Rhinolophus ferrumequinum: one gene and its partner. The protein of the gene in region 2 interacts with the protein of the main gene of each other region in a biochemical or structural test. Links are inferred from orthologs where the notes say so. Each region holds a gene or a part of one and is shown on either strand. Other genes may lie near its edges. The genes, in order: USP20 and CLSPN.

Region 1 (8,399 bases), on a different chromosome or scaffold from region 2:
AAACCACGTGAGGACACAGCAAGAAGGCAGCTGACTGCAAGCCCAGGAGAGAGGCCTCAGAAGAAACCAAATCTGTTCACCCCTTGACCTTGGACTTCCAGCCCCCAGAACTTTGAGAAAATACATTTCTGATGTTTAAGCCACCCAGTCTGTGGGACTTTGTTATGACTGCTCCAGCACACGAATACAGTATTATATCAACATTCAAGTTTCTGAAGATGAAAATTGTTTTCTGGTTGTGTATTATAATATCCTTGTTCTTGGATTATTCCACCTGAAATATTTAGATGGAAAGGGTCATGATATCTGCAACTTACTTTTAAATGGATCAGCAATAATGATGATGATTCTGAGCATATAAATATAGGAAGAGTAAACGGCAAAAATAATAATTGGTGACTCGTATGAATGGGATTTCATTATTATTCTTGTAAGTTTGATTTTTTTTGTTTTATTTTTTATTTTCTTATTTTCCCCCCCTTCTTTCACCTCCCCCCCACACACACACACTCTGGTTCAAGCCATCGTTTCTCAGTCTAGGTGTGTAGGACACAGCTCCCTGGGACATGCTGGTATTAAAAGCTTTGCGCTCCCCTCCGCCCTCCGCTGATGCAGTCGGCCGCCGGTCACCTCTCCCCGTCTGCCGGCCACCAGCCACTCATGCTGGCCGCCGGCCACTCATGGTAGCCCAGGGCAGCCCATAGCAGATGGCAAGGACCTCTTGCTCGTGGCAGCCCAGGTACAGGGAGAGCCGTTGTTCACAATCTTAGCTGTAGAGGGCGCAGCTCACTGGCCCATGTGGGAATCGAACCATCCACTGCAGCTTAGGAGCACGGCGCTCCAACAACCTGAGCCACCAGGCTGGCCCCCTTGTTTTGTTTTAAATAGAAACTTTTTAAAGATTCCCTTCCTCTTGTTTCAGGTGGAAGCAGGGAGGGGGTCTTTTGGAAAAGGTAACCCTAACTCCACAACAGAGCTCCAGGATCCAGCGCCTACTCTGAGCCAGGCACTATGCCCAGTGGTCCCCCTACACTCAGGTAAGGACCACTATTTCTTATCTTAGAGAGGAAGGATGGAGGCTCCGAGATGGGAAGCCACACAGAAAGGGACACAGCTAGAAGTAAGCCAGGTGTATCTGCGTTCATAGCCCTTCCCAACCTTCCCTCTGTGCAAATAAATGGAGTGCACATAGTAGGCGTTTCATAAGACTGAAAGGGGAAGAAACCTGCACTCCTCAGAGAACCGGATGCTGGGAACAGGACCTCTCGAGAGCAGCTGGATGACTGTGCTGTCGGGAGTCTGTGCGGTGCCCGCCCCACAGCTGGTGCCCAAATCGCCAGCCAAAGGAGTTAGGCTTTTTCCACACCCATCCCAGAGCACATCTCCCTCCTGACCCACCAGACCCGCCTCCTCTCTTGGGGATGAACAAGCAGGAGGAAAGGAGGCAGGATGGCAGGTCTGGCAAAGAGCCCGTGCATTCAAGGACCGGGTGAGGCTTCCAAGATGCTTCATCCGGAATAAGGACAGGCACTTTTCCCTCCCTGGGGCTTTCACTGAGTGAGGAGGAAAGTGCCTCCCGAGGGACGCGGCAGGCAGGCAGCATATCCGGGCCTGGCACCAGCTGCTGAGACCAGGCCTCAGGTGCCCATTACTCATCATTTTCCTGGAGGTTCTGGCTCCATCGTCCTCCCAGCCAGGAGCCAATTTCCTCTGGACAGGAAAGGTGACACTGCCACACCCCCCATTAACATAAGGACACCCACCTGCCCTGATCCTCACCACATGAGCCCTGCCACACCCCACACACCCGCGCCCACACCCCTCTGCCCCTCAGAACATGTACCCTTTCCCTCCCTCCTGCCCTCTTCTCTCCAGTAGACTTCCACGCAGCTCCATTTTCCCTAAATCCCAAATACATTCCTTCTTTTAACCCAGTCTTAATTCACTGAGGGTCCACCATCCTTCTGATTCTCAAAGGAGAACCCTCAGGCACCTCCTGCCTTGGCAAGTCCTGCTTCCCACGCATCTCCAGTTCTCCTCATTTGCCTTCCCCACCTTGCCTCCACCCAAATGGCCCCTGCATCCTGGAACTGATATTAAGAGAACTCACTAAATCCTCATAACCACCCTGGGGGATGGCCACATTGGGAGCTAAACCCATTTCCACCTCCACCACGAAAAGAGGAAAGACTGAGGCTCAGAGAGGTGGTGTAACTGGCTGGAGGTCACACAGCAGCTACTGAGCAGCTTTTGACCAAAGCCAAAAGGTTCCAAGAAGTCCTGAGTCTACTATTTGTCTCAGTCCAAGGGAGAGAACAACAACCTCAGAGGAGACTGTTCCAGAGAAAAGTAAGGCATTCCATAAATGCTGCCCAGCTTCCGAATGGTCTTCCCAAAGAGGGAACCCCAAACAGTCTCCACCAGTACCTCCCCTCAGCCAAAGAGCTATAATAACAGCAGCTTCAGCAAACATTTACTGAACTCTTACTGTGCCAGGCACTGCAAAACGTGCCTCTTTGAAGCCCGGTATCCTCATTTGCAAAGTGAAAAATAACTGAATCTACTTCATAGGATTGTTGGGAGAGTTCAATGAGATAATGCTTAGCCCAGTACCTGCCACAGAGTAAGTGCTTAATAACAGCTAATTCTTTGTCAAAGGAAAGGACCAGCCGAGATTGAGGAAAGCAAAGCCACTATTTATGCCTGGAGTTATTTCCTAAGCGTTTGTTTATGCCCTTTTTTCAAATAAACTGAATCCTCACAGCATCCCTGGGGTAAAAGGGGCAAAAGGTAGAGCGATAGTCTGCGTGACAAAGGACGAAAACAAGGCCCCCGAAGGTCCAGAGAGACGGCCGGCAAGCACCCGAGGAGGGGCCCTCTGTCCTCAAAACCCTCCCGAGTGGGTTCAAAAGATCAGACGCGCCTCTCCTCGGGGAGAAGTGGCTGGAGGTCATTATTAGCGGGGCAGTCGGCGCTGGGGCTTTAATTCACCGCCGCTAATAAGTGGTCATCTTTTTGTCCCTAAAGAGAAAAAAACACGTCAGGGCCCAGACCCCGGGGAAATATAAGTCAGCGCCCCGAATGCCACATGCGTGCTTTCAACGCTGGATCAGGCCCTGGCAGAAATAAAGGACATGGCGGCCCCTGTCCCGGAGAAGCAGCGAGCCCCCGGGAGCTCGAAGTAGGGCGACGGGACCACAAGGGACCCCCTGGGCGCTGGACGGAGGAGGGGAATGGGCGACAGCGTCCGGGGGGTCCCGGGCTCCGCTCACCTAGCCGCGGCGTCCAGCGCACTTGGCAGGGCCAGGCCCCCGCCGGCCCGGAACAGGGATTGGGTCGCCCCTGCTCCGAGAGGCCAGGCCCCCCGAAGCAGCCCGCCGCAGCCAGGAACTCACCTGCCGTCGCTACCTCGCCGCCTCAGCCTGTCAGTCAAACGCGCCCTCCGCTACGCCGCGCAGGGTCCTGGGGCCGGCTTGGCCGTGCCCCGCCTTCTCTTCCTTGGCTTCCCAATCGGAAGACGCCGACACCATCAATGGGGGCGTGGCCAGGTGGGCGGTGCCAGGCGGGGCGGGCCCAGGTAGGGCTTGGGGCGGGGCCAGGCGGAGCCGGCGCTCTGACCGCACTGCTGCGCGCCGGAAGCATACTAGGCCTTCGCGCAGCGGCGCAGCGGCTGGACCGCAGGGCTGGCGCGGTCATGCCGGTGACCGGGAAGACTTTCCGCCGGCGCCGGGCCGACTCGGAGTCGGAGGAAGATGAGCAGGACTCAGAGGAGGTTCGGTGCGTTTGGGGCGGGGTTTCCGCGGGGCAGGAAAAGAGAGGCCGACTTGGGGACCACCGGCCAGGAGCCTCGTTGACCGTATTTGCTATGAGCCGGGATTGTTGTCGCGGGAGAAGTTGAGGGTCCTAGTGATGTGGTCGCCACCCCCAAGGCCGCGCAGTTAGGAGAGTTGTCTCCGGGATGGGCAGTGGATCTGATGGGTCTTGGCGCAGGTTCGCCTTCCGTACCACTGTGCCCGCGGCTCAGCAGCGGCTTGGGGCACGGGTCGAAGCTGCTTTTTGACTCTTGAGTTCTGCGGAGGGTCTCTCAGCCTGCGTATTGCCTTTTTTCAGATTAAAACTGGAAGAGACTCGAGAGGTGCAGAACTTGAGGAAGCGGCCCAACGGGGTGAGGTGGGTACCGCGGGGGAACCTGGAGGAGCAAGGGATGACAGACACGCCCCTGCCCCGGTCGCTGTCACACATACCTCCTCAGACATAGCCCCTTTTCTTGACACACTGTACACCTTCCACTGCCCTGAAAGGGGTCTAGCATTCTTTGAAAATATTTAACCAGGAGATGCCCTGCACGGTGTGGTCTGCAGGTTTGCTCTGAAGGTGCAGAAACGGGTCAGTAAATAGCACCTATTAATGTAATTCTCCCACCCAGAGGTAACCAGTGTTATCATTTAATGTTCTTTCCGATCTGTATTCTTTCTCTGGTTTGTAAAGGGTAGTAGGTACTTATATGCTATTTTCAACTCTATGACATTGCGGACATTCACTCACATTGTGGATTATTTTCCCAAAAACCTTTTTAACGGCAGCATAACATTCCACCAAATGCATGTCCCATAATTTAGCTCATTCCCTATTTGAGGACCTGTAGGTTGTGTTGTAAACTTTCATCAAATAAGGCTGCAATATCTATCTTCCGGCATTTGTCTTTAGCTTTATTTTCCCTGAAGGCAAAATCTTAGAACTGATGTTTCCAAGCCAAGATAATGCCAAATGGCTTTATAGGAAAGTGTACCCCTTCACCCCGCCCCCAGCATCTAAAGTGCTTGTTGAGCCCTATTTCATTCTTGCAGGCTTTTCCAGCTGGCTTTGGCGCCCATCCCTCAGATCTCACCCTTGCACTAATGTTGCAACCTACAAACTTTCTAAACGTTCTTCCACATCTCTAAACTATGCCATTCCTTCCCTTTTACCCACCTTCCCTTTTTGGTTTTGCTCAGTGCTGTGGCCCTGCTGGTGGGAGAGAAGGTACAAGAAGAGACCACTCTAGTGGTAAGTTGTGGGGTCCTCCGTGAGCAGTGGGAAGATGTGGATGCTCTTCAATGAGTGATGGTGTTTTCTTTAAAAAAAGAAAAAATCCACTGCCAAGTATTAGGTTGGTGCAAAAGTAAATGTGGTTTAAAAGGTTAAAAATAACTGCAAAAACCACAATTACTTTTTCAGCAACCTAATATATAGATGTTTCCTCTTAGCTGTGTTTGTGTTCTGCAGGATGATCCCTTTCAGATGAAGACAGGCGGTATGGTGGACATGAAGAAACTGAAGGAAAGGGGCAAAGATAAGTAAGTGCAGAACACACTGACATACAGATTCACCTGTATCCCTGCTAGGGTCTGTGTGCCCCAGAGAGCTGGCCTGCAGTAGTAGCTTTAGCGGGACATCTTCAAGTATCCTTTGTGCTTTGTGCAGGGTTTCAAAACGAAAGAACACAAAAACTCTTTAAAAGTTAGCATAGAGAGATGTGGGTACACTCTTTTTGTAAAGGTGCATTGTTTTTTTGTCTTTCAAACCCATGTGGATGTTTCATTTTTCTTTTTTAAGGAAACATAAAAAAGCACAATTATAAAAATAGCACATTCAAACAATACACGAGTAAAAAATAAAATATCTGTTCATTCCCCAGAGGAATCTCCAGAGGCCAGCAGTTCACTTCCATATATTGATTTTATTTACGTATCCTATATATATTTTTCCCACTATAAACAGGATGATAAAACATGCATATTTGTCTTATTGCTATAACATAAAACTCAGCCTGAGCTGTGACTCGAAGGCCCACTTCACTCTCCTCTCCTTTTAGGATTAGTGAAGAGGAAGACCTCCACCTGGGGACGTCATTTTCTGCAGAAACCAACCGAAGGGACGAGGACGCTGACATGTAGGTGTCAGTCTGTTTGACTGTGAGCAATTGAGGGTGGGCTCCAACCAGATACAGTCCAAGATATTTAGTCACAGATGACATTTCTAGAATTATCCAAAGACATCAAAGTTGGCCCTTCTTGCCTCCATATCTGAGGCTGGAAAACTTTGAAAAATGCCTAAAAGTTCTTCAGAAGTGGTTCTTGAGATTTTAGATTCCTTGACTAGTAATATTTCCCTAAAACATTGCACAGATAAACATCAGACTACCCACTTTTTATTTTGCCAACAAGGTTGTTAAACAACTACCACCTATCATGTTTCCCCGAAAATAAAACTTAGCCAGACAATCAGCTCTAATGCGTCTTTTGGAGCAAAAATTAATATAAGACCGGGTTTATTATATTATATAAGACCCGGTCCTATTTTACTATAAGACGGGGTCTTATATTAATTTTTGCTCCAAAAAATGCGTTAGAGCTGATTGTCTGGCTAGGTCTTATTTTCGGGGAAATACGGTACAATTATTTTTTTGTCTTCGAAGAACCTTATGTTTAATAATGCCAGTAGAGTGTAGGACATAATCTCATCAGTTGGTGCTTTTAAGTTGCAAATTTTAGCTTCATGAAAACACTCGTTACTTTTGTTTTTGTTACCTCTCCATGGGCTGATGAAGATTTCATGGACCATCACTGCTCCATGGGCCAATGTTGGGGACCACTAATTTAAAAGACGCCCGTTGTGAACATTCTGCCCCTCCCTGAGACCTGTGGGTTTCTCGTTTCAGGATGAAGTACATTGAGACGGAGCTAAAGAAGAGGAAAGGGATTGTGGAACACGAGGAACAGAAAGTGAAACCGAAGAATGCAGAGGACTGTCTTTACGAGCTTCCAGAAAACATCCGTGTTTCCTCAGCAAAAAAGACTGAGGAGATGCTTTCCAACCAGATGCTGAGCGGCATCCCTGAGGTGGACCTGGGCATCGAGTATGTTTCAAACCCACGATCTACCTCTCCCCTGCCCCTAGGCTGGAGGAAGAGCTCTCTGCTTTCCAGTTCAAAGCTGAGGGGACTGTTTCTTACCTGTTTCCTTGGAAACCTACACAAACTGTATTCTCTCTGGTGGGCTGAGATGGTGGTCCCAAAAATTTCTCTGAAGAGTTGGTCAGAGTCGTAAAAGAGACTTAGGGACCCTGACTGCTGAAAGCAACAGTGTTTATTTTTATTTAGCCTTTGTTCACAGGCCCTTGTATTCTGTTTTATTCTAGCAGGAGCAATGTTAAAGACTTAGCCACCCCGTAATCTTTATCTTTTTTACTACAGAACATCTGCTCTGAAAGGGATGCCTGTGGAGGAGATACAGTGGTCAGAAACATCTTTGGGTGTAGTAGAAAGTTGGGAGACTTCTGAGTTCTTGCCTGTTTTCTGGCCTTTCTGGCTTCAAGCCTTAGACCATTCACTTTACTTGGAGGCTCACTTTCCTCTTGATCAGAAGAGGATAACTCCCCACCTCTCCAATAGTTGTGAGAGCTCCCTGAGAATGTGGCCATAAGGCCCCAAGAAAGACGGTTTCCTCCTGCAGTGGTAGGCTGCCAGTCTCACCGTGCATTTCCTTCTGAGGACCAGAGGTGTGGTGATCTAATGCGTGGCATGGCTCCTTTCTTCCCATAGTGCTAAAATAAAAAATATCATTTCCACGGAGGATGCCAAGGCCCGTCTCCTGGCAGAGCAACAGAACAAGAAGAAGGACAGTGAGACATCTTTCGTGCCCACCAACATGGCGGTGAATTACGTGCAGCACAACCGATGTAAGTTCCTCTGGGGAAGCAGCCCCGCTCCTGCGCCCATTGGTTTGAGGTCCCCTGCTTCCCATGTTTTTTGTCTGACGTGTCCGCTGATCTCTTTTGGTCCAGTTTATCACGAGGAGCTCAATGCCCCCATTCGGAGAAACAAAGAAGAGCCCAAAGCCCGACCCTTGAGAGTGGGTGACACAGAGAAGCCGGAGCCCGAGCGTGAGTACAGCAGAGGCCTCGGCTCCCTGGAGCGGTCACATTGCTCAGGGCCCATGGAGGGGGTGGAAGTTGGTAGGGGTGGAGCTTGGCTTTGGGGCCAGAGCAGCTGGGTTTCAGTCCATGCTCTGGACTATGGTCACGTGCCTTCCCCTTTCCAAACCTCAATTTCCTCATCTATAAAATTGGGAGAGTAATAAAACCTACCTCTTGGGGTTGCTCTGAGGACTCACTGGGCTGTCAAATATAAAAGAGACCCCCAAAATTAGAAAATTTTCAATAAACAAAAATAAAAGTTATTTATAATTTCACCACCCAAAGATGACCACTGTTAACGTTTTTATGTATAACCTTTCAGACTTCTTCAATATTCACACATCTAGGAAACATTGTATATACACTTACTGGGGTCTCATAGCGTTTTACTCACTACTGCACCCTGCATGTCTGTCCATGACAGTAAATACCTACTTTCCTTT
Region 2 (7,814 bases):
GAGAATATACTTTGCATTAACCAGGTTAACAGAAAACTTTAAGTACATAATTATACACAAGTCATCATGGGGTCATCAGGATGAAATAAGGGGAAAAAAAACACAAAAAAACAACGCAATGGTTCAACGAAGGATGACATTAAGAATTACTGGACAAAAAACAAACAAAAATTCATTGTTCACTTTTGAAAGATACTACAGAAACAACTCTGAGTACAGTAGTCCTCCGCCTTACCCCACAGTTTCACTTTCCATGATTTTCAGTTACCTGTGGTTAACTGTGGCCCGAAAATATTAAATGGAAAATTCAAGAAATAATTCATAAGTTTTCAACTGCATGCTGTTCTGAGTAGCATGATGAAATCTCACACCATGCCGCCCCGCCCATCCAGGAAGTGAATCCCCCCTTTATCCATCATATCCACACTGTATACACTTCCCAGCTGTTAGTCATTTAGTAGCTGCCTCAGTTATCAGATCAACTGTCCTGATATCACAGTGCTTGTGTCCAAGTCACCCTTATTTTACTTAATAATGGCCCCAAAGGGCAACAGCAGTGATGTTGACAATTTAAACACACTAAAGATAAGCCATAAAGTGCTTCTTTTAAGTAAAAAGGTGAAAGTTCTCAACTTAATAAGGAAAGAAAAAAACATTATATGCTGAGGTTGCTAAGATCTGCAGTAAGAACTAATCTATCTGTGAAATTGTAGAGAAGGAAAAAGAAATTTGTGCTGCTTTTGCTGTAGCAACTCAAACTGCAAAAGTTACAGCCACAGTGTTTGGATAAGTGCTTAATTAAGATGGGAAAGGCATTAAATTTGTGGGTGGAAAACATGAATAGAAAACACGTTCCAACTGACAGTAATGTGTTGCACCAGAAAGCACTGGGCCCATATGAACACTTCAGCAAGGAATCCCCCGAAACAAGTGACACCAAGCCATTTACGGCAAGTAAGGAATGGTTATATTAAGATATTTGGAGCAAGAGACCACACTCACATAACTTTTACTACAGTGTATTACTATAATTGTTCTATTTTATTATTATTGTTGTTAATCTCTTACTGCACCTAATTTATAAATTAAACTTTATCATAGGTATGTATATATAGGGAAAAAACATAGTATATATAGGGTTCAGTACTATGGCAGTTTCAGGCATCCACTGGGGGTCTTGGAAAGTATATCCTGTGGATAAGTGGGGGTACTATAACCGTAAATAAAGGAAAAGAATCAAGCATTTATTATGCCTTTTCTATGTGAACTGTTTCTCAGTCTACCCAAATGACATTAAATAACATCACAGAGATGCAACCCAGGTGTGGGAAACTCTACAATGTGATTTAACAATAAATTGCAAGAAAAAAGAGAGGGAGGGGGACCTATACACACATATCAACAACCATAATATTCGGCCTTTCTGTGGGTCCTGATTCAAACAGAGAGTGAGAGTGAGTGTGAGTGTGTGTATGTGTGTGTGTGTGTGTATGTGTGAAGGAAATCTACACTGACTAGCTATTTAATATTAAGCAATAATTCTAAATTTTTTAGGTATGGTAATAATATTGTGGTTATCTTTTTTGGAAAGCCCTTGTCTTTTAGAGATGCATACTGGAATATTTGTAGATGAAATAATGTCTAGAATTTGCTTCTAAATAATCCAGGGTGGGGGTATAAATGAAACAAGACTGGCAGGATTTGATAATTGTTGAAGTTAGGTGATCGGTTCATTACTAGCCCTTCTACATTGGTATGTTTGAAAATTTCCAAACAAATCATTTTAAACACCACAAGTGAAAAATCTAAGGAGAGGTGTGTGAGGTGACTTGATCAGTTAGTGACCAAGCTACCCTAGATGCCAGGTCTCTAACCTCCTTAGTGTCCTTAGGGCTCTGAATCAACTTAATAAGGTGAAAAATATTAATATCTGTCATGTAATAGAGGACAAGGCCTCACCCTAAAGGCTTCTCCAACAACTGTTAAGTTGATTTGAAGGCTTGGTACAATTATTAAAATAATAAGCAAAAATAACATGTACTAAAGAATTACTGAGGATCACCATGTATGTGCTGACGGTCCTCCCAACAATCCAAAGCAGGGAGACTATTAGTTCTGTTTGTGGGTCTGGAAACTGAGTGTAGGTAACTACACAGCTCAATACATGGTGATGTTCATTACTGTATTCTAGGCAATTTGTAGCAGTACCAGCAACGGTTGAAAGACAGGGCCAGGACCTAAGTGAGAAGAGAGGGTCTCAAAAAACTCACTAATCAAGATAATATCTTAAGGCAATATATATTTTTTTTAAATCATGAGGTCAGCTGCCTGCTTTTGTAAATAAAGTTTTATTGAAACTAGGGCCTGAATGAGGGTGAGGTAAGTGAGGCTGAGGGGTGCTAACTTAGAGTCAGATTTTGTCTTTACGTTTGACATTTTGGGATTTTTTTGCATTCATTTGTTTTTTTAATGTCGCATTAAAATATTATCTTGATTACTGAGTGTTTTGGCGTCTCCTTGAATTTTGCTCCCAAGGTGAGTGTCTCACTCTAGATCAGCCTCAGAAAAGAACACAGGACTGGAAACTAGTTTCTATACCCTATTCCGCCAGCGATCAGCCAGCCACCATCCCGGAGGCCTAGAGACTGGTACTTCCCCTCTCGGAGTCGGCGCGATGACCTCTTATGAACTCCCTTAGACCTCGCCGTCCACCTACAGAGAATTCTGCCCCGCATCCCAGCGGCCCGGTTCGGCTTGGGCCTTCCTCTCTTTTGGAGCCCTCTGAAAAGGAAGAGCTCCCATGGCAGGAAACGCGCCAAAGGAGAGGGCGGGCGGCGCAGGCTGAGGGGTTGCGCGGTCCGCTGAGCGCGCCGCAAAGACCAGGAGCAACATGGCCCAGAAGACCGAGACGTGGGAACCCGAGCACCGGGACTGGACCGGGAGATCCAGGGGTCGAGGAGTCTATCCCCTGGCCGTGAGGCCGAGACCCCGCGGTGCACGCCGGGAGCTGTAGGCCTCCCAGACTCCGCGACCCGCTCTGCCAGGCACTACCCCTGCTCCACCCCACCCCTCAGCGCCCAGCCTCCGCAGCCGCGGATGGAGGCATGTGTTTGAACTCACCTCAGAAGCCACTTCGCCCGTCATGACTCCGGTCTCCCCAGCACTGCGTTCAATACGAAACAGGTCTCCGGTTCCCTCAGCGGCTGAGCAGCTGCTCCCGCCGTCTCCAGCCCGGCAGCGACTTTCGAGCTTTCGCGCCTAGCCAGAGTGGAGGCCCCGCCCTCGATGATTTGCACCAATCCAGAGGAGGCTTTCTACATGAAGCCACGCCCCCAGTCGGTCCTACCAATCACTAGGCGCTTTCGACCAGCTCTACAAGTATAATCTGGGTTGGGTTGGCGGGTCGCGGTTCCCCTTGCCTACTGAGCCCCGGGGCGGCTGGAGGTATTCTGGCCACCTGGCCGTCGGGCCCTCTGGCCTTGCTAGACAGTACTGTGCAAGTGGTGGCATTTGACCTTTGATCTTTACCGTAGCGCGACAGCTCCCATCAAGCAGCAATATGAGGAGTAAGCCCTCCAAGCAGGAAGTAAGTTGGAAGAAAATTCTTGGGCACATGCGGGCATCCCTATCCCATACTATAGTCTAGTGGCCTTGTGGGGATTTTCTCCAGGACCTCCATCCCTGGAGCCTCTGCATCTTACCTGCTCCTTCTTGTACATACAGGTAGCACTCACACCACTGAAAATCAAGGAAGTAAAATTTTGCGGGCCGCTCAGATACTAAAGAATATCGTTGGATAACCTTTATAATTTTATTTAAGGTTAATTCAAGGATGCAGAAAACACCCACCCATCCCACTCCTAAGCTCTTTGGACAAGGCAGGCAAAAGAATAAAAGGTATGGAATAAGATTAATTCCAGACAATTCTAATCCCTTGTCACTGTGCTGTTTACTATGTTTTTGCCCATCCGGGTCCATGCTCTGTCTTTCCTTATCCTGCTTTGTCCAGCCAAAGTGGACTTCTCCCCACTGCATTCTTGAGCTCCCTTGCCGTCTGGCGTCAGGTTGAGTCAAACTACTGGTAGGTACTTCACAAAATTATTGTCAGCAGGAGATCAAAGGGAACCAAGAAAGAAAGGTCACAGTAGTTATCACCTCCACTTCACCCCCCATGGCCCTAACCACTGTTAGGGCGACCAACTCATCCCAATTTTCCCAACTTTCTCAGTTTTAGCATTGAAAGTCCCACCTCCTGAGACTCTCTACAGTCCCAGGCAAACCAGGATAGTCACCCAATCCACTGGCCTCCTCTTCCAAGTTTCCACCTTTAGCTGGGTTAGGATAAAAGTTCTCTCTCCTCATCTTCATTTCTTCACCTCCTCACCACTTCTCAACCCACTTCTGCCCCCACCAAAAAGAGCCTACCATCCATCCTCTTCTCTCACATCTCAGTCTTTCCATCCACTTTGCTATTAATTTTTAAGTGATAATTCCCAAATATACATCTATACACTCCTCCCTCATATTTGGAGAGCCAACATTATTGAGGGGTTACCCTGTGACAGAAACAGTTGCAAGAATTTTGCAACCATTATCTTATTTAATCTTCAGAGTAACTTTGTAAGGTAAGTAATATTACTATCTCCATTTTAGCAAATGAGGAAATTAAACCTTTAGAAGGCTAGTAACTGGTGGAGCCTGTATTCACACTCTCTTCAGTCTGACTCCAGAGCTCATACTCCTCAGAAAGATCTTGCCTGAGGACCCCCTACGTTCTCCCTCTGTCCCCTGTTTTGGTTTTCCTGATAACGCTCACCTCTGCGTAAAATTTTATCTATTTGTATATTGTTGCTCCAAGAGGTCAAGCACTTTGTTTTCTTTAACACCATATCCTCACTATCTAGAAAAATCATTCTCAAATTTGAGCATTCATCAGAATGATCTGAAGGGGTGATAAAAATAGATTGTTAGACCCCACTCCCAGATTTTCTCATTTAGTATGTCTCATGTGAGGCCCAAGAATTTGCATTTCTAACAAGTTCCCAGGTATTTTTAATGCTGGTGGTATGGAAACCATACTTGGAGAGCAAAGGGCTTAGTCAATTGTTGAACTAGTTAATTCAGTCATTTGAAAACTATATTATTATTCTTGAACCCCCTCTGGAAGTGAATAAATGAGATAGTACTCCTGCTATTAGCATTTTCAGACCTTATTAGCATTTGCTTCTCTTTATAGAGCTCCTTTTCAGTCCAAATCAGTCTGATTTGGACGATGGATGGAAGGGGTAAGCTAGGAAGGGAAAGCATTTTATTCTACGTATTAACTTGTGCCAAGCTAAAGAGAGTCTGTATTTGGAATTAGCAATCTGTATTCTCAACTTTGATGAATGGCACCATAATCCATAACTCACCAATTCAGAAAACTGGGAGTCACATTGGCTCCTCTCTGTCTCTTGTCTCTCAAAGTTAATCATCCAACAAGTTCTGTTTATGAAGTTGATGGATGACAGTAAGAGAGAGGTCTGAATGTTCACTTTGCAGGGATAAGCCAGTGAACTTGTCCCGTAAATGGCTTTGTGACCTTAGAGAAGTCATTTAGCATCTCAGAGCCTTGTTTTACTCTATTTGTTATTAGAAAACAATAGATTAGATCATAATTCTCAAATGGGTTTAATTGGCAGAGCATCCGGAACTAAGGTACTCTCTAGGAAACACTTTGCAGTACTGACACACTTGATCTGGACATGTAAATTAGGAAACATTTTCACTAGTAGGATCTATCTATCATATTACCCAAAATCAACATAGAAAAGCAATTCTGAGATTATATGTCTCTGAAAAAATAAGCCGTGGAATGTAACATGCTCAGCTCATTCCAAAATTCTATTTATATTTGCTTGCTGACAGACAAACAAAAGCAAATTCCAAAGGCTTAAGTTTGGAGGGAAAACATTGATTAAATTATATCTTTTAGTTCATCTTTTCTGCAAATCGAGAAAGGCTACCATGTTATATTTTTAGTGCTGCTATTCCTCTGGAGTCAAGTGTGAGAACTACTTGCTTTTCTAATGTCCTAGGCCGCTGAGTCTTCATTCCTGGAGACACACTGCCACCATGTGGCAGGGCTTGGTCATGTCAGTCTATCTATTACTCTATCCTATGGTAAAACCTTTTTTTTTGTGGAGGGGGAAGGGAACAGGACTTTATTGGGGAACAGTGTGTACTTCCAGGACTTTTTCCAAGTAAAGTTGTTGTCCTTTCAATCTTAGTTGTGGAGGGCACAGCTCAGCTCCAGGTCCAGTGGCCATTGTTAGTTGCAGGGGGCGCAGCCCACCATCCCTTGCCGGAGTCTAGGAGTCCAACCGGCAACTTTGTGGTTGAGCCCACTGGCCCATGTAGGAATCGAACCGGCAGCCTTCGGCGTTAGGAGCACAGAGCTCCAACCGCCTGAGCCACCGGGCTTGCCCTTTTTTTTATTTTTAATTTAAAAGTTATTCAGAGTTGTTCAAGCTTTCCTTTGGTACAGTGAAATAATTGCATCTCCCAGAATCTGCTTTAAAAAATTCATACTGTAATTCCATGTAGTTATAAAGCTTCTCTTGAAGAGTACCCTGTTTGAAGGCCAGGGCTATTTTTCTTGCTTAATGTACCCCTTGAGCTGACACATAATGAGTGCTTAATAAATAATTGTGAAATTAATGACTAAGAAACCATGGCCTAAAAAACAAAAACAAAAAATACTAGGGCGTTTTGCCAAGGCATGACGGCACACACACCATCAGCTTTTTGTATCAGCATACAAAGCTCCTTTACCGCAACTTTTGGCAACCTAAAGTACCTATAAAATATTCACCCACTCATTCAACAAACTTTGAGCACCTATTTTAAGCCTATGCTAGAAACTGAGAATATTAAGGTAAATAAACTACAGTCTTGTTTTCAGGTTTCCATTGCTGGCTGGAGATAGGCAAGCAAATAAGCTCGTATAATAGTGTAAGTATGTGCAAATAGCTGCAAGGCCCTGAGAGAGGGGCAGCTGACTGCCTGGGGAAAGTCGTGGAATATGACTCCTGAACTGAATTTCAAAGATAGATTGGAGTTCTCCAGGCTGGCACGGGAGGAGAAGGCATTCCAGGTATGTGTAGGGGCTTGATAAAGCATGTTGTGTTTGAGGAACTGAAAGTAGGTTAGTATGACTAGAACACTGGGTGTGTATATATGTGTGGTGGGGGATGGGGATGGGTGAAAGTTAAACAAGGAAGAAAAAATGTAGAATGCTATGCTTAAAGTTTAGTTTGTAGACAGTTATGAACTGGGTAGCTGGGGGGTGGGAGAGTTGTTAAGAAGGAGAGTGACATGGTTAGATATATATTTGAGAAAGATTATTCTGGCAGCATCTGAAGGATGGATTGGAAGGGGATTAGACTGGAGGCAGGAAGACCAGTTGTCTAAGTGGGAGACTATAAGGACCTGAACTAAGTCAATGACAGTAACAATGGAGAGGAGGAGATGGACTGGGAAAAAACAGGCAAAATTGACAAGGTTGTTAGATGACTAACCTTGAGGGACAAGGGACAGTGGAGACAGTGTGGCTCTCATGACTCTTAAGTTTCTGGATTGGTAAATTGACAGATTGTGGTACCATTCATCAAAATTGAGAATATAGGTCACTAATTTCAAACACAGACTCACTTTAGCTTGGTACAAGTTAATACGTAGAATAAAAGTTTGCCACTTCCTAGCTCACCCATGGCCACCCATTGTCCAAATTGGGGAGCGCTCTCTCTCTCTCTCTCTCTCTCTCTCTCTCTCTC

What was found.
Region 1: of the proteins of CLSPN (region 2) and USP20, one has a biochemical effect on the other in vitro, tested with the Homo sapiens proteins (2 studies listed by BioGRID, with this or other methods). The link is inferred for Rhinolophus ferrumequinum from reciprocal best matches to the Homo sapiens genes CLSPN and USP20.

Annotation. Positions count from the first base shown.
Region 1 is NC_046295.1:78,218,876-78,227,274, reverse strand, and holds the start of USP20 (ubiquitin carboxyl-terminal hydrolase 20), read right to left. Parts: upstream 3,526-8,399; 5' UTR 3,396-3,525; intron 3,379-3,395; exon of another isoform or gene 3,273-3,378; intron 1-3,272. Other genes in the region: C12H9orf78 (splicing factor C9orf78 homolog), read left to right, coding at 3,695-3,777, 4,111-4,170, 4,995-5,046, 5,266-5,336, 5,855-5,932, 6,701-6,898, 7,583-7,719, 7,825-7,923.
Region 2 is NC_046292.1:24,819,944-24,827,757, forward strand, and holds the start of CLSPN (claspin), read right to left. Parts: upstream 3,266-7,814; 5' UTR 3,145-3,265; coding exon 3,121-3,144; intron 1-3,120.